Linked DNA regions of Caenorhabditis elegans. The protein of the gene in region 1 purifies or fractionates together with the protein of each later gene. This does not show direct contact. Each region holds a gene or a part of one and is shown on either strand. Other genes may lie near its edges. The genes, in order: ZK899.3 and tag-276.

What was found.
Region 2: the proteins of ZK899.3 (region 1) and tag-276 fractionate together in Caenorhabditis elegans (co-fractionation; one large-scale study listed by BioGRID). This does not show direct contact.

What each region holds. Positions count from the first base shown.
Region 1 is NC_003284.9:9,447,702-9,460,216, reverse strand, and holds ZK899.3 (uncharacterized protein), read right to left. Parts: upstream 7,070-12,515; 5' UTR 6,931-7,069; intron 6,886-6,930; 5' UTR 6,259-6,885; coding exon 5,963-6,258; intron 5,917-5,962; coding exon 5,759-5,916; intron 5,673-5,758; coding exon 5,557-5,672; 3' UTR 5,241-5,556; downstream 1-5,240. Other genes in the region: ZK899.5 (C2H2-type domain-containing protein), read left to right, coding at 1-306; tba-8 (Tubulin alpha-8 chain), read left to right, coding at 2,002-2,016, 2,068-2,436, 3,037-3,170, 3,219-3,369, 3,415-3,522, 3,572-3,643, 3,764-3,862, 3,909-4,006 and 4 more; ZK899.2 (DUF7802 domain-containing protein), read left to right, coding at 8,225-8,326, 8,370-8,695, 8,743-8,994, 9,162-9,267, 9,314-9,667, 9,714-9,932; ZK899.7 (RNA-directed DNA methylation 4), read left to right, coding at 10,818-10,874, 11,115-11,228, 11,304-11,593, 12,245-12,356.
Region 2 is NC_003280.10:12,244,677-12,256,460, forward strand, and holds tag-276 (uncharacterized protein), read right to left. Parts: upstream 4,467-11,784; 5' UTR 4,403-4,466; coding exon 4,007-4,402; intron 3,727-4,006; coding exon 3,646-3,726; 3' UTR 3,449-3,645; downstream 1-3,448. Other genes in the region: Y57A10A.24 (EB domain-containing protein), read left to right, coding at 265-399, 600-806, 1,466-1,575, 1,636-1,750, 2,240-2,584, 2,778-2,859; parn-2 (Target of EGR1 protein 1), read right to left, coding at 7,287-7,490, 8,494-9,031, 10,285-10,749, 11,686-11,784.

The DNA.
Region 1 (12,515 bases):
TTTGTTCGTTATTTGATCAAGAAACAGAAAGATGAAAGAACTGGAAGTATTGTCTACTCTTTCCCAACTAAAAGAATGTCCAGAAGCATTGATCACATGGAAGACGCTACTGACACAGAAACTTCCGATGTTTCAGAGGATGGACAGGTGGAGGAATCTGATTGGGATGAGTATGATTCTGATGAGTTGGACGACGGAGAAGATATCAATAATCAAAGTATGGAGATTGGTTACGCTGCTGATGAGGATCTTAATGAAGAGTCGTTTGAATATGACGAGGAAATGGTTGATGTTGAAGCCATCTAAAACATTGAAACTTGATTAATTTTCACAACTATCTATTGCTAAACTGATAGATATTTAATAATTTCGAAATAGCTCGGAAAAATACTTTTCTGATTTTTTTGTTTCATTTTTGTACCAATTCTAATTTGTTCACTCATCTAATTTGTTCACTCATTGATCTCATCGACGAAATGTTTTTCTTGATTTTCCCTGCTTTATAGTTCTCATCTCAATTATCCAATAAAGTCTCATAAAATGAAATTAACTTGATTTCTTTTAATTAAAATGTTTTCAAAAACTATAGACCGAGGCAAGAGACATGTCACAACAACCTTTTTTTCCAATCCTCTTTTTTTTGGTTTGTGTCAGTAAATTCAGATTGTTCAATGCATTGTTTGGAAAAAAGGAGGATATAACAAATATAACTTTCCAATTATACTGTGTATAATTTGCAAGAGAGGAACAAACAGGAAAACTGCTGACAATTCTACCTAATTTTATTCAACTAATCCAAAGAAACATCAACTAATTATTGCACCTATTTTTTTTTGAAATGTATTGTTGTTTTGAATTTTATTATTCATGTTCAAGTAAGTAATAAAACACAGCTGAATGATATATTTTTAATCCAAATCGGCAACGGGAGCACTTGGCGTACTGATTGGGGCAATTGATCCAGAAAATGGTTGTGGATCTTCTGGGAGCATTTTGTTTGTGATCAAAGTGTTCAATTTTCAATTGAGTTCCTTTTATGGATTGAATGTGGCTTGGGAACAGAACAACGTGTCTAAAAATAAATAATAATATTAATTATGCATTTCAAAAAACGCAACAAGGCGATTTTCTTGTTCTATGAATTTTTTTGACTAAAAAACTTGCACCTAAAACAATTTTGATACCTGCCCAATATACGACCTAAATTGTTTTGTTCATTTTCCCATATTTCTAATTACTGTTCAGAATAGTCATGAAATAATTATCTTTTAAAATTTGCAATTATTTCCATAGGTGTGCTTGCAAGTACGTTGTTGCCTATCATTTAATCGGTAAGATGAATCAACATAAACGATTTTCAGAAAATCGAGACAAATTTTAGAACAAGACATAAAATAAGATTACAGAAAAAAAAAATCACCGAAAGACTACTTTCTCAAGCTGAACACACGTGATATTCCGGAATTTACTTTTGGCACAAAATGGGCAACAATTTTGACTGCTTTGCACGTTCGAGAAAAGTATCATCAAATTTTGATTTCAAAGATGTTAAAAGAAACAGGCAAATCGTATTTATGTACGTTGGTTCTTGTTGTATGTAGAAAATATGTTCAAAGTGGAAACTTAGGATACAGAAAAAATTTAAAAATTTCGTATATGGCTCTTATTTTCTATTGTGTCTATAGAATAATTTGTAAACCTATTTTTCATTCTGGTTTTGATTTCAAAACATTCCTGCTCACTGTTGAATTCTTTCCAGTATTGAATTTTTGACCTAAATTCGATTTAGCGTGGCATGTCAGATAGCTATCAGTTTTCGAAATGCGGTGGAAACTTTTTGCGGTGTTTTCGAAAAAAAGAAGGGAGATACGGATCGTCCCGTATTTTGACATAACGCGTGAATTTAACTGCTAATCTGAGTTGAAAATCAGAAGAAACGACCTTCCATTTTAGTTGGACAGTTTGAAACTGTAGGTTACAAGAGCCGAAATCCGCGAAAACATGCCTTCGGATGGTGTAAGTCAATTTTATTTATTTCAATTTCTTTTATCAAAAAAACATTTTCAGAGAGAATGCGTTTCAATTCATATTGGTCAAGCTGGTGCTCAAATTGGAAATGCTTGCTGGGAGCTGTATTGTATTGAACATGGTCTTGATGAAGCTGGATTTTTAAAGGAGGAAGAGAAAAACAAGAAACAGCAATCACTTCAAGCATTTTTCTCGGAGTCGATGAACGGGAAGCATGTGCCACGAGCGATTTATGTGGATTTGGAACCAACTGTGCTGGATGAGATACGAAATGGGGTGTATGGTAACTTATTCCATCCTGATCAGATTATCAATGGTAAAGAAGATGCTGCCAACAACTATGCACGAGGGCACTACACTATTGGAAAAGAGCTCATTGATGTGGTCTTGGACAGAATTCGAAAACAGGTCGGTGACGGAATGGTTATGTCTGATTAAAAAATCATGAAGAACTTTTTCGGTATTCAGTGCCATCTTTTTAGTAGAAAATCTATTAAATGATTTGCTGAGTAGCTGCTAAAAAGTTGCGGCAGCGTTTCCTAGTGGCTGCTGAGTCTACCTGTATGTATACGTCAGGTTAAGTTTACTCGGCAACCAGTTTCTAACATTTTTTTCAAAAAACAAATCAAACTTTTTTCACTGAGAGTGGACCATGAGGAACATCTATTGAAATAGATATTAAATATTGGAAAGCAGATGAAAACTGCTGGAAAATATACACTTTTCTATTTTATTTCAAATATACTTATTATCCTTACTAGAAATTAAGAAAATTGCCCACAACTACAGAAATATCTTTGTTAGTGGTTTTCAATAACCTTCAGTCCAATTTTGTTGTCAAATAAAATATCGAAATAAAATGAACGGAGTGAGAAATGAAAAGAGGAATCAACAATAATCTGAATGACTAAAATACCATTAAGCATCTTCAGAGTGCAAATTTAAAAAGAGAAAACATACTGTAGAGTGTAATGTAGCAGGGTTAGAAAATAAAAATCATCAATTCAGACTGAGAACTGTGAGGGACTTCAAGGATTTCTCGTCTTCCACTCTTTCGGTGGAGGCACTGGATCTGGGTTCAGCTCTCTTCTAATGGAGCGACTTTCGGTGGAATTTGGAAAGAAAAGTAAATTGGAGTTCAGGTTTATTTTAGTACTTTGTACCACCAGACGTAAATCCGAACTTTATAGTGTGTATCCAGCACCACAAGTCTCCACGTCTGTCGTTGAGCCCTACAACTCTATTCTGACTACTCACACAACATTGGAGCTCTCCGACTGCTCTTTTATGGTGGACAACGAGGCGATTTACGACCTTTGTCGTCAAAAACTTCATGTTGAGGTGAGAGGGGAATTATTCACGATGCATTGAAGATAATAATCTCAGAGACCTTCCTACTCAAATCTCAACCGTCTTATCGCCCAAGTTGTGTCATCGATCACCGCTTCGCTAAGATTTGACGGAGCTTTGAATGTTGATTTAAACGAATTCCAGGTGAAAACAAAAAACTGAATATAGAGCGACGGTGACAATGTGATTTCAGACAAACCTGGTTCCATATCCAAGAATTCATTTTCCACTGGCTACCTACGCTCCAGTCATTTCAGCTGATAGGGTAAGAGTGCATCAGCCAATTTATTTCAATTATAATTTCAATTAATGAATCCGTTCTACATAAAATGACATGATGTAGTATTACAAGTTAAGCTTTTTTGCAAACGATAACCTCATTCAGGCTCACCACGAACCCTTGTCAGTTCAAGATATCACTCACATGTGTTTCGAAAAGGCTAATCAGATGGTGAAATGTGACCCAAGTGCTGGAAAATACATGGTAACTCAAATATAAATGACACTCAACTGCACATTAATATTTTCAGGCGGTCTGTTTGCTTTATCGCGGCGACGTCGTTCCTAAGGATGTCAACGCAGCTATTTCGTCAGTAAAGGCAAAACGAGGAATCAACTTTGTAGATTGGTAATGTTGCAATTTTAATGTACTGTGATGAATTACAAATGCCAGGTGTCCAACTGGATTCAAAGTCGGAATCAACTACCAAGCCCCAATAACAGTCGAGGGTGGAGATCTTGCAAAGGTGAAATACTTTTTACATGCAGTTTATGTTTCATTTCTTAGTATTTCTCAAAACTCAAATTGAAATGCTTTTTTTAGGTACACCGTGCTGTTTGCATGCTGTCCAATACCACAGCAATTGCTGAAGCGTGGGCTCGTCTCGACCACAAATTTGACCTAATGTATTCGAAGCGCGCATTTGTGCACTGGTTTGTAGGAGAAGGTACGTGACTACGGTAGGACAGAAACATTTTGAAGAAATCTTGGAAAATGATGCGAAAGAGAATACAATTTCCGTAGTAGATTCTTTATCATAATTGTAGGGACATTTGAAAACATCAAATAAAATTCAACGAGGCAAAATTTGATTTCAGGTATGGAGGAAGGAGAATTCATGGAAGCTCGTGATGATCTGGCTGCTCTCGAAAAAGATTATGCAGAGGTTTGTGAGGAAAAATCCCAAAATACAACTAATTTACAAGTGATTTACGGAATATTGTTTCAGGTGAGCAGAGACACTGCAGATTTGGAAGAAGAGAATGACGAGTTCTAAGAAAAATTATAAGAATGCAAATTAATACGTCAATATGAAAAAGTTTAACCATTTCAATAAAGTTTAATAACGGTTTTTCTAACTCTAATCATGCCCGACCTTTAAAACTTCAAAACAAAAAACTTACCGTATGTTTTAGTGTAGTATGCAATACAGCTGTCCGAATATGTTTGCGGTGCAGTTACAGACTGAAAATTAATATTTTATTACTTATTTTTTGATTAAAAAATGTCAATCATTAAATTAAAAATATAAGCTCAATGAAAATTTGTTGGTAATCATAACAAAAAATTATAAACCAGTAATTGGCACATTAATAAGCGAAAATTTGGTAGTACAAGTTAAATTCAATTTACAAATAATAAAAACCTTTCACATCTCTCAGTTTCAGTAACAGAAATTACTGATAAAATTAAAAATTAAAGAAAAATTGAATTGAGCGTTTTGTATCAAACATAAGGTTTTTGTGCATGAGTGTTTTTACTAATTTTTATATTTAAAATATCTGAACGAACTTTGTTTTAAAAAAAGATTTCGAACCAACGTATTACGATTTGTCTGTTTCTTTTAACGTCTTTGAAATCAAAATTTGATGACACTTTATACTTCGACTTAGCGAAAAATACAATATTAAATGTAAAATTCTTAACAAACAAAATTAGCATCATGGATACAGTAGAGACATTATCCGGAATACAAAAAACTTTTGCTAAAATATGTTGAAAAATTGGAACTACATAAAGCAGAAAATTTGAACAGAGAAAGTAACAAAAATATGCGTCACAAAGGGTTTTGTGTTTATGGGTGAGAAGGGTTCGGTTTGAAATCGTGAATTTATGCAAGGTAGACGTCCTTCAAGTGTCGGGTATAGTTCATGTTGTCTCAAAAGGTCGTCTGCTCTTCACTGTATTTTCTCTTTCTCAGATTTTCTGCTTCCCTCATCATTGCCATTTTGTCGTCTTTTCAGCTTTCGCTTCTTGTTCCGTTCACGCTCCGGGCAGTTATCTAATCCATCTGCTGAAACACAAAAAAGTACATTTTCGCTTTTACTTTTTTGTCTCTATTTTTTTCGAGAAAAATTGAATATCTCCAATTTGACTTACACGTGATGTCATGTTCAAACGTAGCTGCAGCTGGAACATTTGTCAAACGATTATTCGAACGTTCCTCCTTTTTCAATAAAGTCCGAGAAGACTTTGACTGCTTCTGATGTTTGCTGCTACCTTTATGATGTGCCGCATTTGGGATAGCCCACGCTATTCTTAAGATTTTTAGAATGTTATTTAGCCTCATCTTAAAATCACTACCTGGGTCTCGGAGTAGTTGATTTGCTGTCAGAAGTGAGCAGTTCTACAGTAAGTGGAACATCCACCATTGAACCTGAATTGCTGGAACCAGGTGAGGCCGTGAAAAACTCTTCTTCATCATCCTTTCTGTCAACACTGTCTTCCAAATTCGGAGCTGGAATTTGATTGAAATCGAACATAGGCATTGTTGTTTGACCATTAAAAGCCAATGGGTCCGGAGTAAGGACCACATCGTCTTCTTGTAGGTTAATCGAAGCAATAATTCTTGCCAGGTTAGTTGATGGCCGTGAAGACATTTTCACTTGATATGAACGAATTTTCAGATTGAAATCTCAAATTTGAAAAAAATAGGATCTGACAGCAGTAGGATGAACTTTTAACGGGCAAGCAACATGGCACCGCCTCTTTATTCTTGTACGAAATTTACATAGAAGAAATAAATTTCATCATACGAAAACTACAATAAAAAATTAAATTGTCTTACGCTGGATTGGAAGCACCTTCGTAGGTGAATACATTTCTGAAGTGTAATTTCAAATAAAAAAGCTAGTTGGCAAAAAATGATGATGTTTCGAACATCTAGAAAAAAAATTTCAGAAACCTGTGAAACCTCATTTTCGAATATTTTATTTATCGTTCATTTAGATTAGAATCAAGTTTTAAAATTCAGTATTAATAAGATTCGCAATTATACGGAAATTGATGCATATTATGAATATGAAAATTTTGATCAAATTTTTTTTCGAACGTATTTCCGGTAAGATTTATTAATAAAGGTCATTTAAATTTAATTTTAGATTTTTTTTCAATACCGTATATGCACTATTGCATGATTCTTCTATGAAAATGTGGACTCGATAAAAAGTTACTCTTTGCACATTTTGTTCAAAACTGAATTCATGGAAGATGAAGTGGATGATGGCCTGAAATTTTGGAATACTCAAAATACAAATCGCTTCGAACCTTACCGACAATTATGTTTCAAACATTAACTATGCTATTTATGTAGTCTTTTCTGCTCACATTATTTTCGATAACGTTTTTTCCAGTGATATTCTCTGTCAATCACACGTTTCAAAAAGATAACCACTCGATTTTTAGGCACTCTGAAAAATCATAAAATGTAAATTTAAGAGCAAATCCACATAATGTAGAGGATTTTGAAAAATAGTGTCCTCCGCACGTGACACACGTGAAAGTCAATTCTCGGCAATGCTGAAGAAAAGGGAGCAAATACTTTAAACGTTCTCGACATAGCACATTTTTTAACTTGAAAATTGATTGTGGGATACTGATATAAATTCGTACATTCCCTTCGAATAAAGCAATAATGTTCAGCCTAATCCAACCCTAATAAATGCCATTGCACCAGTTATTGTTTGCTTACAAAGGTCCCTCCTTGTTCTGGTCCAAGAGACGAACGGAACGGTCTCTCCTTCATCGTGCACACAAATATTTATTTGCCACGGAATAGCAACGTCCATTGACCATTTTGTCGTTCTCCTTTCTGACTAGCTGACGACTTTTTAACCCTTACCTATGTGCAACATAGTTATCAAATTGTGGTCTTTCATTCGTTTTGTTATCATTAAGTTGTATAATGATAACAAATTGTGCTTCTAGAAAATAGCTATTTAGTTGGGAAAACGTTAGTCGTGCTGGTTAATTTATTCATTTCGAACGGCCATTTTCAAAATTATGCTCAATCATTTTTTTTAAATTTAAAGTTTGTTAGCGAAATGTTATAATAGTAATAATAATAATATACTTTTTCAAAATATGATGGACATTCCTTCACGGCGGGAGAAGAATTCGTTTTTCTGTATAAGGATGGTGTCTTGCCACGTCATTTCCTCCATTAGCAAAGTAACCCATCCTCGTCGTATTTACTCCGTCGACCGTTCTCTTTCTACCTTTGCTAGCCATGTACTTGTTATGTTTACATTTGTGCCCATAGCCTGCATATCGATCGAGGTCAACTGGTCAAAGGACGCCCTATCACAAACAGTGCACACTTTCCTGTCTTGGCTGTTTACGGCGATGAGTCATGAGAAAAGCAACGCTATTCTTTTTTATAATGCATATTTGAATTTAAAACTTCAATTTGTTCAAAGTTGAAATATAATTATTTTCCACTTACTAGTAAATTGTGAAAGTTAAACAATAGTTTTCCTGCAGATCTCGAAAACTTTATCTTTTTTGCGTTTCTTTTGTTTATATATCTCATTCACGATTCTTATTTTGAAGATAATTTTTCCAGACATGGACTACTTGATGGACCGATACGTCTTTGACAACTTGCCATTTGATGTGGGGCCGGAGTCTCGCAAAATTTGGGGCCAACGGGCTCTACATGCTATTCAGGTAATTTGTTAACTAGCAAATCATTTATAGAAAATAATTTCAGTGGTTCGATTGGATTTGCAAGTACCAACCGGTCTCTACAATATACGAAAATCATACATCGTTTTTATTTGGTGAAATCTTGTTCTTCCTTCTTGCCGGACTCACGTTTGCACATGCCTGGCGATCTGGAACACGATTTGTACTTGTATGGTTTGGAATTCTTGTCCATGCACTCAACGTGGAAAACCTCTGCTACTGGATTCCGGATATGGACAATTTCTGGCAGGCCCAGGGAATTCTGACTTTCTTCGGTGCCCGCGCTCCTCTCTACATCCTCATCGGTATCTACCATATGTTCGACTACACTTCGTTTGTTCTTATGAGCAGGTAAGATATGTGACAGTTTTTAAATAATCAATAATTTCAAATTTCAGACTTCATCTGCCATGGTGGGCGTACGGCCCAGCAGTAGGTCTTGGAGCAGTAATGCTTGACATGCCATACGATATCATGGGAATCAAACTTGTCTGGTGGACGTGGCACGATACCGATCCAAACATTTTCGATAGAATGAACTGGGTACCTTGGAACTCGTATTACTTCCACGCATCGTTTGCTTGCTCGTTCACTTGGATTCTTATGTATTCTCGATATAAGCTAGTTGACAAAGAGTATGATTGGAGAAAGTGAGTTCAACTAAAGTAATCAAGTAAATAATCAAGTCATCAGAAATTTTCTAAGACCTGGTTTTTAGATTTAAGAAGTTTATATGAAAACTAGTCTAGCAATAGTTTGAAGAAAGAAGCCAAAGTGCTTCGTTGTTTGTATATATTTTAACGAATAATTTTTCCAGGCTTCCGAGAGAAATCCTTTGCATCGTGTTTGCTGGAATGGGAGCTTTTTGGCTGGGAACCATCCAATTTGCTCTTCTTTACCACCCACTTCATGACATTTTCAAGGTAGCCGGATTATCCGTCTTAAATTTCTGGAACGATAAATTTTCAGGTTCATTCCGAGTACACAACAATTGCATTTCTCTCCATCTATGCATTGATAGTTATTTTCGCGGATCGCAGGAACAAAAATGAAAATTCTCGTGTTGGAAACAAGTATTGGTTTGATGAACTTGCGGCGGCAATTGCCATTGAGTACCTTTTCTTCATGATTGCCGTTTTGATATCTGATCCAGTTAGTATTGTCAGTGATGGACTCCATCAACCAATTGGACCTTGCAATGAAACTCAGAAGGTTCAAACTCCGACTGGTCTTGTGCTTCAAAAGCAGAAGTATTTCTGTACAGACAACTACGATGAGAAGTACATCGATTTCCATTGTGTGCCAGGAGGACCACCGCAACAGGTAATATAAAATTTGAAGTTAGTTACGAATTCAAAACATTTTTTAGCCAGAACCAGGTGTGCCGTTGGAATGGTACGCGGTGTGTGGAACAGACTACGAGAACAGAGCAGAATACGTTTTCATCATTTGGTTCATCTGCATTCTCTACAGCTGTATTTGGTATCAAATCGCAGCTTGTTCTGGCGTCACTCCAAAAGATCCAGTTAAGCAACTCAAGAAACGTGTCTCCAGCCAAAAAAATACTGAATCTAAAAAGACCAAGTAATGAATCAAATTTTTAATTTTCTACTTATGTGTATTTCAAATGAACTTGTCATATTTTCATAATATACTTTTGGAACAAAATACAGCGAAGTGACAGTTTAAAAGACAACAATATATCAGATTTATGCACAAAGTGTTTTGAGCATGTTAGAATAGTTTGCAGTTTAATTTGATTAAAAAAAGGCTACCGATAAAGCCATAAACAAGAAAAATTAATATCTGCAGATATTGTAGACCAGCCAAAAAAACAAACCCCCTGTGTCAGAGAAGTTGAAGGTAAAAAATACGCGTGCTACGTTTTTTAAACATTATTTGTACATCAAAAAAAGGAAAATTTGTCAGGCCTATTCACTTCATCCATTGGGGAGTTCAAAGCTCAGATCAAATCGACTTTTGTTGAGTAATCAGGCAGCGTTTGAGCTTTGCTCGGTTTCTTTTCAATTTATTTTGTAACCGTAGCTATTTTCTGATCCATTTGGGGCTTGAGACGGCAAGAGGTTTTGTTCTTAATTCTTTCAAATCGATAGTTTTCATTTTCTTACATCGTTACATGATTTCATTTCTACGACCCAACATCATTAACTGGCCTGAAAAATAATATTCAAAACAGGACATTCCAGATTATTTGATACTTTATTAATATCTGTCTGTAATCGCTGAGCAACAACACTCAAATTTGAAATTGCTCTTTGATTTTCAATATCCGTCGGATTACATGCTCAAATATTTCTCAGCAAACTCGGCCACGAGGATAATGTGTCACGCTCTCACACTCTCTAACTGCCTCATTCCATGCATTTACGCGCACCTTGTCTTACTTTTCATTTTCAGTTATTGATTATATTTTTTAAATTCAGGTATGGAATCAATAAAAAGGTTTCATGGGATGGAGATGCTTCACAGTGCTGTGGAGCGAATGGATGCATTTGCAGAGAAGTATATGGTCAGTTTAAAGAAATGGTTTGAAAGTAGTTGCTGAGTTACATTGAAAAAATGCTGGCGCTTTCTAGGTAAATTGAGCTTTTGTTTTAAGAATTCTAAAGAATATTCATGCACGCACGCAGTTAGAAACAACTGAATCGTTTCAAAGATTGAATTTTTTTTGTAAATTCCTAGTTGCATTGATGTGAACAGCCTATGCTTAATATCTCAATGTTTATTTCTTTGTCTCTTTCAATTTCAGGCTGTTAGAAGCAAGTTGACATTAGGATTAATTGTTATGTGGGCGTTCGACTACTTCGGGAAACTTTTTGATTCCTACATCAAACGCATCTGCGGAATCAGGCATGGAGCTGTGGTATGTTCTTGAATTTTCAATATTGTTATATTACTTTTAAGAACTCATTAAATTTTTGTGAGAGAATAATTGCAGTTTTACTTTCCTCGGCGATGGTTAGAAGATGATGACGAAGTATTCGATGAAATAGCGGAGAACTTTGAATTGGATGACTCTTCAATAGATGAACAAAATCAAACAATTAATGCCAAAACAGATCACATGGAAGAATTTGAAGAATCTCTGGAGGACTGGGAATTCGCTTCGTTTGATAATATGGATGATTATGAAACTGACTCAGATGATGAGAATAAGTACATTATTGAAAAAATGCGCAGTCGTTACAGGGCTGCGTTGACAGATCCTCAACACATTGCTGCTTACAGGTACATTTTTATATTTGTTATTGATGTATTGTGAAACGTTTTGAAGAATAATGCGCATTTAATATGCATTAAAGGTAGAGTAGCGCCAGTGGGAGAATTGTTAAAAACTACTTCTATGGTACCAAAATTGCCACAAACTACAGTGAAATTTTTAATTTTTTTTTTATTAACTGGAGAAAAGTGACAATTACTGAGTTTTTCTCACTTTTTGAGAAAAAGCATAGCATCTTCGGGTCTGTACAGTGTTAGAATACTAATGTTCAAAACATAATTAGACCACAAAACTCGAAGGGATTTTTTTTGAACGACGATTTCAAAAAAAAAGAAAAATTGTCACGTTTTGAATTTCAATAATATTTTTTAAACATATCTTTGAAAAATTTGTCTATGATATTTGGTTATTTTTTAACTATAGGAGTGCTTTTTCAGTTTCACCAGTGGCTCTACACCACTTTTAATACAGATAATTTTATTTTTAATACCTTTACTAGAAAAGTTCCAACTTGCTATAAAATTAGACATTTATTTTTTTTTCATTCGCATAAACGGCAAAGACAGTGAAATATTTTTATGCGCTTTAACATTTTTGTTGAAGAAATCCCATAGATTTTATCCAAATCAAAAGAAAATCCGAACAAAATGTATTTTTAGAGCCAACGAAGTGAAGCGAATTTCCAATGAAATTCAATGTGATGAGATTTTGTTGGAAAACGGGCTCATTGATCCAACAGATTTTGGAAGATCACTTATGATTGAATTCTAATGTTCCGACACTGAAACTGTTGTTATGAAAACGGATCACATGGTTTTGTTTTTCTATTTTCATTTTCTCTATATTTATTCTGATTTTGTGTTTTCATTTTTGTTTAAAACCAATATAATTGCAAATAAATATTCTAATGTACAATTCCACATAGATTGG
Region 2 (11,784 bases), on another chromosome or scaffold:
GAAACTGTTATAGAAAAAAAGTAAAAATTCAGATTTATTTCGGGGTACCCCGAATTCAAACAAAATATCATAATATGAAAAAAATTTTTAAATCAAACGTTAAATAATATTTCGAATTTTTGGGTCCCACCACAAAAGCTTTTTTGCCGAAAATTTTGTGAAAAAAATTGGCAAAATTGTATGTATGATGCTTTAAATTTAACATTTCAACTAATTTAAAAAAATTAAATTCGAAAATTTTTTTTTCAAATTCTATATTTTCAGAGTTTGCGCAAAATTCCGCACCAGTAACGTAGAGGTATGCTGTCAAAGTTCTGACGATATTTGTGGTGTTGGAAGTCAAATTTTGATGAATGGATTGGTGCCGAGGGACTGTAACAAGAAGCCATGTGGGATGGGGTAAGTGAATTTTACAGCTCAAGCCATGCTCTTAAAATAGCCAGGAGCTAATTTTTTTTGCTCGAAACTTTCCGAAAAACATCTAAAACTTGGAATCAATTTTTTGATTTTTTGAAAATTAAAGTTGAAATTTCACAAAAATTTTTAAACATTTTCAGAACTTCTAAACTAAAATTGCACCGCAAATTTCAAATTTCCAGCTACGAATGTTCGCTAACCCCGACGGGTCTTCGTGTATGTTGTTCGTTAGCCCAATGCCCGTCAGGAGTGTTTGCGAGAAGTGTGTGCGCAGCCGGATGTTTGAGAAATGAAAAGTGCATGGAAATTCAGAATGAGATGTGGTGTTGTCCATCCGAGGAATCATTCGGTTCAAGAATTGAGATGGTTTGTAGGAATGGGGAGAATGGGTAAGTTACTACATTGTACTGTAGTACTGTATACTGTATAGTGTACTGTTGGGGTACTGTAGCTCAGTTTCCGTTTGTCAAAAATTATCAAAAAATTTAATTCAGTGTTTATCATCCAGAAAATAGCCTTAATATACCGAGTATAACTGTAGAAAAATTTATGGAATTTCTCTAAATTTTTCTAAATTTTTAACGATTTTTTTTCAATTTTGCAAAAATATTTGATTTATAACACTAAAAACTATTCAAATGCCAGAAAATGGAGCCGTAATGACCAAATATATCTGGAAAATTTTTAAATAAATTTTCTAATTTTTTAAAATGATTTTTCGTCAATTTTTAAAAAATCTAAGAAACGGCCGAATTAAATTTGAATTCCCGCGCAAACCATATATTTCGGCCGTTTTTTAAATTGTTGAATAATTGAAAAATCATTTTAACAAATTCGAAATTTTTTTATTAGGTGCTTCTATTGAATTTTTCTACAGTTACATTCGGTATATTGAAACTATTTTATGTCATTTAGAGCAAAAAAAACTTCCAAAAATTTTATTTCCTCGAGTTTTTTTAAAATTTCAAATGTACTTGATTGTCTAGATTACTGTAGAAATGCTTATGACTCAATTACAAAAAAATCCCAGTATTGATTCTTATTCCAGAACCGGTGAAAAATGTGACCCAGCTTTTCCGGCGTGCTCACAAGGAGCATTTTGTGAGCTGAACAAGGAGAAGACCGCCCATATTTGCTGTAAGCGGTATAAAAATCGACGTGAGTATTTTATTGCTTAAACCTATAAAAACTAAAATTCAAGAAAAAAAAAAATTTCAGTCGGCAACAGCCGTAAAACCCTTCTACCCCCTCCATTCTACTACACTACAACTACTATGAAGGCTCCCATAACCATAGCCACAACTACTGCAGAACCATACCCTTTTGAATCTGTGTAGGTTGCTTAATTAAAGGCAAAGTAGCGCCAGAGGGGAAAGTGTTTAAAACTACTCCATTGGTGTCAAAATGATCGAATATCATTTTAAAAAATTTCAAAAAATTTTTGAAATTTTTTTATTTATTATCAAAAAGTGACAATTACTCAGTTTTTGCCACTCATAATTTTGGAAGTCAACCAAAAAAAAATTTTTTTCTACATTTTTTATACTGTAATTTTTTTTTAATTATTTGTATTAAAAAATTGTAGGGGTTGGAACATGCGAAATTGCTTTGGATTTCCTCAAAGGCTCATATTTTTCAAAATGTTTGCAATTTTCCAAAACTGACCGGGAATAATGAAAAATCTAAAAATTTTTGGACTGTTTGTTAATGATATTTGGTCATTTGAAATAATTTTAAGTGTATTTAGACACAATCCCCACTGGCGTTACTTTACTTTTAAACCATCAAAGGTATCTTAATCATATCTTAATATTTATTACAGTCCAAACTGCCAAGACCCTGAAGCCCGTCCACTCATGGAAAACGGCTTCCCATACATTTGTGATCATATCGGAGATCCGTGTATTCTTCGATCAGGATATTCGTGTCAAGAATCTGATATTGATGATGTCTATGTGTGTTGTACTATTCAAATGAACCGAATCCTTCCACCACAGATTCCAATGATTGGGCCATTTACGTTTATGACGTCATCAACTACTACAACTACTGAGAAGCCGATTGAAGAGGAAGAAGTGATTGCGCAGCCGACATGCCCATTTTCATATATGCCGTCGAAAAATGTTAATCAAGATGTGCAGCGTTGTCTATCACTGTTTACGTTGGAGTGAGTTCCAGAAAAATAAAAAATAAAAAATTTTTTTCGATTGTTTTTTGAAACTCTAAAAATCAGTATTATCTTATTATCTTTATCCAATTTTTTAAAATTTTTTTTTAAATCGGAATTAAAAAAATTCTAACATACATATATTGTTGAAAACGTTTAACGTTCAAAAATCGATATTTTAAAATAATTCCAGCTGCCCACTCGGCTACACGTGTCTACCATCTTCCACTACCGACAGTTATCTATGTTGTATTCGGAAGCCTGTGGTCTATTAGGCTTAATTATTGATTTTTGTTTTTTTTTTCGAATATTTGTGCCAATTCTATATTTTTTAAATATTTTTTTAGCTAATGAACATGTTTTCAAACAGTTTAATTTAAAAACAGCCTAATACAAAAACTTGGAAAACTAAGCCTAAGCCTAAGCCTAACCCTAAGCCTAAGCCTACACCTAAGACTACACCTAAGCCTAAGCCTAAGCCTATGCCCAAGTCTAAGACTAAGCCTAAGCCTAAGCCTAGGCCTAGGATAATGAGAGCATTTTCAGACTGCTCTATAAAGCCAAACAAAGATTTTGCAATAATTCATAACGCATTCGATTCACAATAACAAGTTCTTTAATAAAACTATAAAAATGTAAAAAGTTAGGAGTCAAATTTTTATTTATTTAACACTGAAAAATTGGAGTGTGTAGATAATGAGAGCATTTTCAGACTATGTTTTTTCAGAGCTGACGCCAAGCTTATGCCTAAGCCCAAGCCTACGCCTAAGCAAAAGCCATAATTCTGAAAATCTAAATTCAAATGTTAGCATCCAAGTCTGGGCTCAACGGTCCAAGCCTGAAAGCTTAAAAACCTAAAGCCTGAATATTTTTGCAAACATAAGTAAACTGAATTGAAGTTTTATCTGTGATGTACAGTTTTAATTGACAAGAAACATTGCAATCGGGATTAGTTTTTTTGAAAAACTGGATAATAAAAATGAGGGAAAATTAGTTGAAAACACAAGAAAATAATGACAGATTATGAAAAATTGGCAACGAATATAATAAGTTTGGTAAAATTATACGACTGGGGAGGAAGAAGCCGACGATTCTTCGGATGAAGAGGAGCTTGATGGTGACGTGGATGATTGTTTTGTAGTCTGGAAAGTATTAGTTTAGGTGGTTTGGTCAGGTTTAGAAATTTTTTTTTAAATTTAATTTGGTGCGAAATTTTATTTTTATTTTTCAGGCCAAATTTACGGCGCAAAATCGGTGTAGATTTTTTATTTTGAAATTTTTTTAAATTGCAATTTAACTTAATATGTAGGTATTTTAAGTACAAAAATAATCGAAAATTATTTTATTATTTTAAAAATTGAGTTCGTTTTCAGAAAATTAAAAAGTTCTCAGCAAAATTTTAAAATAACAACAAAAACTAACCTTGGAGAAATTTTCCGCTTCCTTTTGCAAATCCGCAAAAATATTGAGCACATTGGCGAAGAGCACCTTGTTCTTCGAAGCCTCCCGCATCTTTTGCTCCACAACATCCTGCTCCAACTCCTGAGCAGCGAGACGACGAAGCTTCTGGAGCAACAAGTTGACTGGGTACTGGTACTCATACCGTCCATCATACTGGCTCTTGACAATTTGCTCGGTACGGCATTCCCGGAATACTCGAATCGGGCAGTCGAGGAAGAGAAGACACTCCAGTGCATAGTACCGGTTGTGCTCTTTGAGCAAGTAGTCAGTGTATTTTCTGACTTGTTGAGCAGGGCTCAGTGGAGCTGGGACTCTTGGGAGAGCAGCATTGGAGACCGGCTTGGTGTGAGATGGCATTTAGAATGAGTTAAATAAAAGGTGAGAGAAGAACTGAGATATGTGGTTAAGAATGACACTAACCTAGACCTAACCCTGTAGGACGCTGCAATTTGGCAACAACAAAAAATCGATATATGGGCGGGGGGGAATGGGCTATGCAACGTGGCAATGGGAAAGCAGAAGGAAACAATGGTTATTGATTGGTTTACGATTGTGAATATATAAATTTGGTACATACGTACATTTTTGTTTGAGAAATAAGGGAGGGTTCTCCCTGAGGAACATGGAAAAAAGTTGTCAAAATTTAGGGGATTTCAGATTTTAGTTTTTAAAAATATTGGAATTTTCAGAAATTTTAATTGGATACTTTAATTCTAACGGAATGTTTAAAGAAGGAGTATTTAGAAAATTTGGAATTTGCATAAATTATTAGGTTGGTCAAAATGTCTTTGCAACTTTTTGAATTTTTTTTGGAGAGAGTATTTATTCAAAGCGAACGAGATTCAATGGGTAATATATTCACCATTAGTGTATATGACTTCTTGCCAACCCAACGAAGGTTGAGCAATACCCTCCGCACAGAACTCCTGAGATTAGGAGGCAAAGAAGTCGTCCCACCACGTTTCGACGATCTTTCAATCATGAAACTTCTGCCCGGTAAGGTGATTCTGGAGAGAGCGGAACAAATGGTAGTCAGTAGGAGTCAAGTCCGGCGAATGCGGTGGGTGAGACAAAACTTGGATTCCGAGTGTCTGGAGCTTCTGGCGGGTCCTCAAAGTTGTATGCGGTCTTGCGTTGTCATAGAGCAGCCTAAATTTTGATTCTCTAGGGTGATGTAATCGATGAGCACGGACCATCTTTTCCAATTGAATAGAGTATAGGCCAGCGTTGATTGTAACGGAGTCTGGAAAAAGTCCTCGGAAAATTACACCCTTACTGTCCCACCAAATTTAGAGAAGCACTTTTTCTCTTGAAGTTCCCCTTTGAGGTCAGGTTTCACGGTTTCCTCGACCGGGACCCACTGTTTCTTTCTGGTATAGTTAACATGCAATACCCATTTCTCATCTCCAGTAGTGATATCCTATACCCAGTCTGTTGTTCGTTTCCTAGTGAGCAGCGAAAAAGAGAGGTCACAAAACAATTTTTCTGAGAATCGGACAAATTGTGAGGAACGAGATGACCGAACTTTTCTACCCTTCCGGTTTCGCGGAGATGGTTGATGATGGTTCTTTGGAGATGCTTGAGAGTCGCAGAAAGTTCACGGTTCGTTGCTCTTGGATCATCTTCCAGGGCTCTCGAATTATCCTTATTGATAGCCAAACGAGACCGACCGGATCTTGGTTCATCATCGAGATCGTAGTTCTTTTTCGTGAACTTTTCGAACCAAAACTTTATGGTATTATAGGTGACAGAATTATTGCCTAACACTGCACACATGTTACCACGAGCTTCGTTGCAATTGCAGCCTTGGGGGAACCCATACAGAAAACCCCTCGGAGGGTGTGACCTTCGGCGAGCAAATTCTCGGTCATTTTGAACAACACCCAAAAGTTTTTTCAAATGTATTAAACATGCACATTACGTACTATGCAAATAAAAAAACAGAATAGGAAAATAACGAGTTAACGCTGAGAAATGAAGAAACATACGAATTTTGCAAAGACTTTTTGACCAACCTAATATTACATTTTACTTTTTTTTGTACTTTTTCAAAATTTCTGCAATTATGGGTTTTCAGGTATTTTTTTTGGAATCTTCCGAAATTGTTTCAGCATTTTAAAGAAGTTTTTTGGAACTTTCAGAAATTTTATACATTTTCTGATTTTTCTAAAGGCTTTTCGAATTTGGTTCTTTGGGAATTGTCCGTTTTTGTAGCTTTTGGTGTTTTCTGAAAATTTTTATTTTTATGGGTTTTTACACGTGGTGTCGGTTTGATCTATGTAGATCTACAAAATGCGCGGGAGTTGAGACGCAGAGTTTTCAATCTGATTTCGCATGGTTAAGAACGTGCTGACGTCACATTTTTCTGGGTAAAAAAATCCCGCATTTTTCGTAGATCAAACCGTAATGGGACAGCCTCACTCCACCTTTTTTCAGAGAATTTATATTATTTCAAATGTGTTTTTGGAACTTTTCGGATTTTAAAAATCCCGAAAAAAAGTTACATTTTATTTTTTTTCTTTGATAGCAATTGTATTTATTTCTGAAGAAAAACTGCGCATACATAGGAAAAATAAGAAATTTTCAGCGAATTTCAAATTTTTATATTTATCAGAAATTATCACATTCTTCTACATTTTTTTTTGGAATTTTTAGAAATTGAGATTTTAAAGCTAAATTTCAGGCGATTTCGGAATTTTTTAAAAATTTGAGCTATCTAATTTTTCAATAGTTTTAAAATTTTTTTCAGAAATTTCAAAATTTCAGAATTTTGAGAAACGTTAACTAGTTATTTTAATCCTAACAGAAATTTCCAAAATTAATTCGAAAATTTTGGAATTTTCATAAATTCTTATATTTTGGCATTTTTTAGAGTTTTTGGACTTTTTCGAAATTAAAAATTGAAAAAAAACTGTCAGATTTTTCAAAATTTCCGAAATTTTTGAATTTTCAAAAAACGGCGAATATCCAGGGCGAATTTGTCGGTTAAAATATACAAAGAACTCAAAATAAGTCTATTTTTCAGAAAAAAATAGGTTGGAAACAACAACAAAAATTTAAAAAAATGGATTGAAATCGAAACAATGTGAATTTAACAATCAAGATCAGGTGGGGGAACATCAATAACCGAGAAAAAGTGGAAATTTTCAAATTTCCAAAAAATTGTATTTAGATGGGGATTTAACGTACCAGAAATAACAACAACAACAACAAAAAAAATCAAAATTCAAAAATAAATTATTCAATCTTCACAAGGTGTATCCTCTTTCTGAACACTTTTGATAACTGTAGCGGCTGCATTCATTCGAATATAGTCCCGTTGCTTGTTGATCTCCACCATTGCCTCCAAATGAGCATCAATTTGCTCGGATTGTGGAACTGGGACCGGTCGGTGGCGAAGATGCAATGGCTTATCTTTGGCGGACAGTGGAACGCGGTTTAGGAACTGAAAATTGAAAGAATTCGATTTTTAAATTTTTTTTTGTAAATATTATAATTTTCAAGATTTTTTAAAATTAAAAATCATGTCTCATAAATATTTCCGACTCTCCATAAATTTTCAACATTTATAATATTATCCGAAAATTTTTAAGATTTAAGAATCATCAAAAATTTAATAATATTTAAAAGGGATTTTTTTTAATTTCAGAAATTTTTTTGGAATTTTCAGAGAATTTCTAACATTTTTTGGAATATCCGAAGAATTTCAGACGATCTAAAAATTTTTTAGAAACAACTAAATTTTGAGAAAAATGTTTGAAAGGGATTTTTTTAAATCTCAGAATTATTTAAAATTTTCTGAAATTTTCTGTAAATTTTTGGGATTTTCTGAAAACTTTGGAATTTCCGAAAAATATCAGACTTTCTATAAATTTTAAGAAATTATTAATTTAAAAAAGTGTTTGAAAGGGATTTTTCAAAATTTAGAATTATTTCAAATTTTCTGAAATTTTTTTTGAATTTTTAGAGAATTTCAAAAATTGTCTTTTTTTTAATTTTGTGAAATTATTGGAAGCCTCAAAAATGTATAATATTTAAAAGGAATTTTTCAAAATTTAGAAATATTTAAAATTTTCTGAAATTTTTTAGGAATTTTAAGGGAATTTCAGATATTAATTTTTTTAAAATTTTTAGGAATAATCAAAAATTTATAATATTTTTTAATTCCGAATTATTTCAAATTTTCAGAAATTGAGATTTTTAAGAAATGAACATTTCAGGCGATTTCGGGGAAAATCTTTAAATTTTTTTAAAAAGTTAAGCAAATCCAGTACTAAAAAAATTCAGAATCGCTGAATTTATTCGAATTTTACGGCGACTAATTTCCTATAAATTTTTAAACTTTTATTCTTCAAAAAGCACAAAATTTTTCGAATTTTTCGGCTAATTTCCTATAGATGTTATGACTTTAAAAACAATCTTTGTTAATGCTTCTCTTCAAAAAGCACCTTCAAATCAACTGAATTATCAGCCATCAGGGTTCTTCTCTGCTGATAAATCACCGCAAAAGCCGTCATAAAAGCATCAACTCCAGCCCGATGCAGCCCTGTAACCACATTTCTCTTGAGCTCCCGAAAGTCTCGAGTCAACAAATTCTGCTCAAATTTCGCGTTCTTCCATGCCTCCTCATCGGTGCCCGTCTTCTCGGCAACCGATTCAGCAATCACATTATTATATCTCCGTTTTCGTTTGAACGCCTTCTTATTCTCCTTAATCCTCTGTAAATCGATAGCAGTATCCACGTCATGGAGCAGTTTACATCCTTTTTCAGTGTTCCGAGCGTGGCAGAAGCCGTGATACGCGAAATATTTGCACACGTGGATGTGAAGATCGATGGGAATCGCGTGATCTGGGAATCCTTCTGGAAGACGTACATCTACACTTTCCGTAGCGTTTTTTAGAGCTTTTATCGACTTTTCAGAGCTTGGGAAGCAAATTTCGATGTGATATCGATTATTTTGACGCTCGATCTCGTTGTCTCCTTGCCTGAAATTATTGATTTTTTGTTGAATTTTTGAAAAAAAAATTTCAAAAAATTTGTCAAAATTTTTTTTATTTTTTAAACCGGGAGAAAATTGGAATTTTTTGGAGAGTTTTGCCGAGAAGCTAAATTTTTAATTTTTCGATTTTTTAAAGAATTTTTTGTATATTTCCCAACTAGCCACGTGATGCCAGGCTGCCCCATTACAGTTTGATCTACAAAAATGCGGGATTTTTTTTGCTCAAAAAATGTGACGTCATCACGTTCTTAGCAATTCCCGCATTTTTTGTAGATCTACGTAGATCAAGCCGAAATGAGACACTCTGACACCACGTGAACTAGCACGTTTCCGACATTTAATTTTTTTCTTATTTGGGATAAAATTGGATTAAAAAATTTTTTTTTGATTTGTTTTTTGGAACTTATGCCGAAAGTTCAAACATTTTAGTGGAAATTTCAACGAAAAATTAAATGTTTTCAGTTTTGGTGGGAATTGAAAATTGAAATTTAAAAGTTTCGCAGGAAAACTGAATTTTTTATTTTTTATTCAAATATTTGGCGGGAAATTTAAATTTTTTCGAAAAGTTGAAAGTGAAAGTCAGAAATTTTATAAAACATTTTTTTAATTTGTTCAAAAAAAATTGCGAAAATTTTAATTTAAAAAAAAATCATTTTTATTAGTTGACATATTTAAAATAACTTTCAAAAAATTGGCGGGAAATTCAAAATTTTCGAATTTTGTCAAGAATTTTTATGAAATTTCAAATGTTAATTTTTTGCCAGTAATAATTTGATTATAACGATTTTTTTGCATTTTTTTTCAAAAAATTTGGCCAAAATTTTTTTATTTTCTCAATCGGGAGAAAATTGGAATTTTTTGGAGAGTTTTGCCCAGAAAAATTAAATTTTCAATTTTTTTTTTTTGGAATGTATGATTTTTTTTTGGAATTTATGAGATTTTTCAAATTTTAAACTTGAAGTATGACTGAAAATTAAATTTTGCAATTTTTGGATTTGAAGCTTCAGAGGAATTGAAAAAAATTGTTCAAAAAATTGGCTGAAAATTCAAAAATTTTCGATTTTCAGAACAATATTTTAAAAAACCGGTTTTTCGAAAAATTGTTAAGCCTAAGAATTTTTTTTCGAAAAATTAAAAAATTAATTTAAAAAAAATAATTGTTTCAAAAAAAATTTTTTTTTTCAAATTAACATTTTTTTTTCAATTTTCAAAAAAAAATTAATTTTCTCTCTGACATACGTTCTCCGGAACACATATTCCAAAAAAGAGGCAGTCATTCTCGTCTGATACTCTGCCAAATACTTGGAATCCGCCACCGGCAGATAGTTATCCGGAAACATATCACTCAAATTATTAACGAATCCATCAAGAGTGTCAGGTAAATCGATATCATATAACTGCTTATAGATAAATGCCAAATCAATAAATCCATTGTGAAGGCAGAAGGTGGCCGATGAGCCTAGAAGCTCACGGAAAAGAGTTTTCAATGGACAGTTGGCTCCCTGGAATCGTACTCCTGATTGAATAAGTCTGTTGAAATCGAAAGAATGTTTGGCGAGAAATTGAAGAGCCGATGGTTCAATTGTGAATGGTTTTTCTGAGAATGTGAGAATATTGAAAACTTGGGTCTCGTAGCGAAGAGCTCGACGTTTTTCACTTTTATGCGTCAGCTTCATTGTGGCGATTCCAACGGATAGAATGCTTCTGGAAAAGGTGGGAGAATTATTGATTTTTCCAAAATTTATTTTTACATATTTTTTTCCGAAAAATTATCGATTTCTAAAAAAGTTCAAAAGGTTCTTTTTTACGAAATTATCGATTTTTACAGTTTTCTCAGGTAATTATTGATTTTTTTTTTCAGATTTTTTAAAACGAAACTATTGATTTTTTTTCGGAATTTTTACGAAATTATGACGATTTTCCAAAAAAAAAATTTTTTATCGAAATTATCGATTTTTACAGATTTTTCGAGGAAATTATCGATTTTTACAGATTTTCAACAATAAATTATCGATTTTTCCAACAAAAAAATTTCCAAGGAAAATATCGATTTTTTTCGGATTTTTTAAAACCAAAATTATCGATTTTTTAAACGAAATTTTTTTAAACGAATTCATTGATTTTTAAATTAATTTTTTGATCATGGAATTATTGATTTTCGCAGATTTTTTACAATAAATTATCGATTTTTTTCGGATTTTTTAACGAATTAATTAATTTTTGAAAATTAATTTTTCGATCATGGAATTTCTGATTTTCGCAGATCTTTAATACTAAAATTATCGATTTTTCCAAAAATTTTTAAAAAAGAGATTATCGATTTTTTCCGGATTTTTTTTACGAATTTATTGATTTTTCCAAATTTATTTTTACGAAATTATTGATTTTTTTAAATTAATTTTTCGATCCTGGAATTTCTGATTTTCGCAGTTTTTTAATACTAAAATTATCGATTTTCCTAGATTTTTTCATAAAACTACCGATTTTCACAATTAAAAATATTGATTTTTGTAGATTTAAATAAAAACAAAGTTATCGATTTTTTTTTAAAAATTTCACGAAAAAATCGATTTTTTAAATTCCAAATAAAAATATTGATTTTTCAACGAGAAAATTATCGATTTTCTCAAAATTCTATACCTAGTATGCGCGGCATCACGAATCGCCTGATATCTCTCAGCGATATCACGTGAACGTAGTCCTTTCCCGCCGAGACCGCTCAACTCCAAATCTATCGCT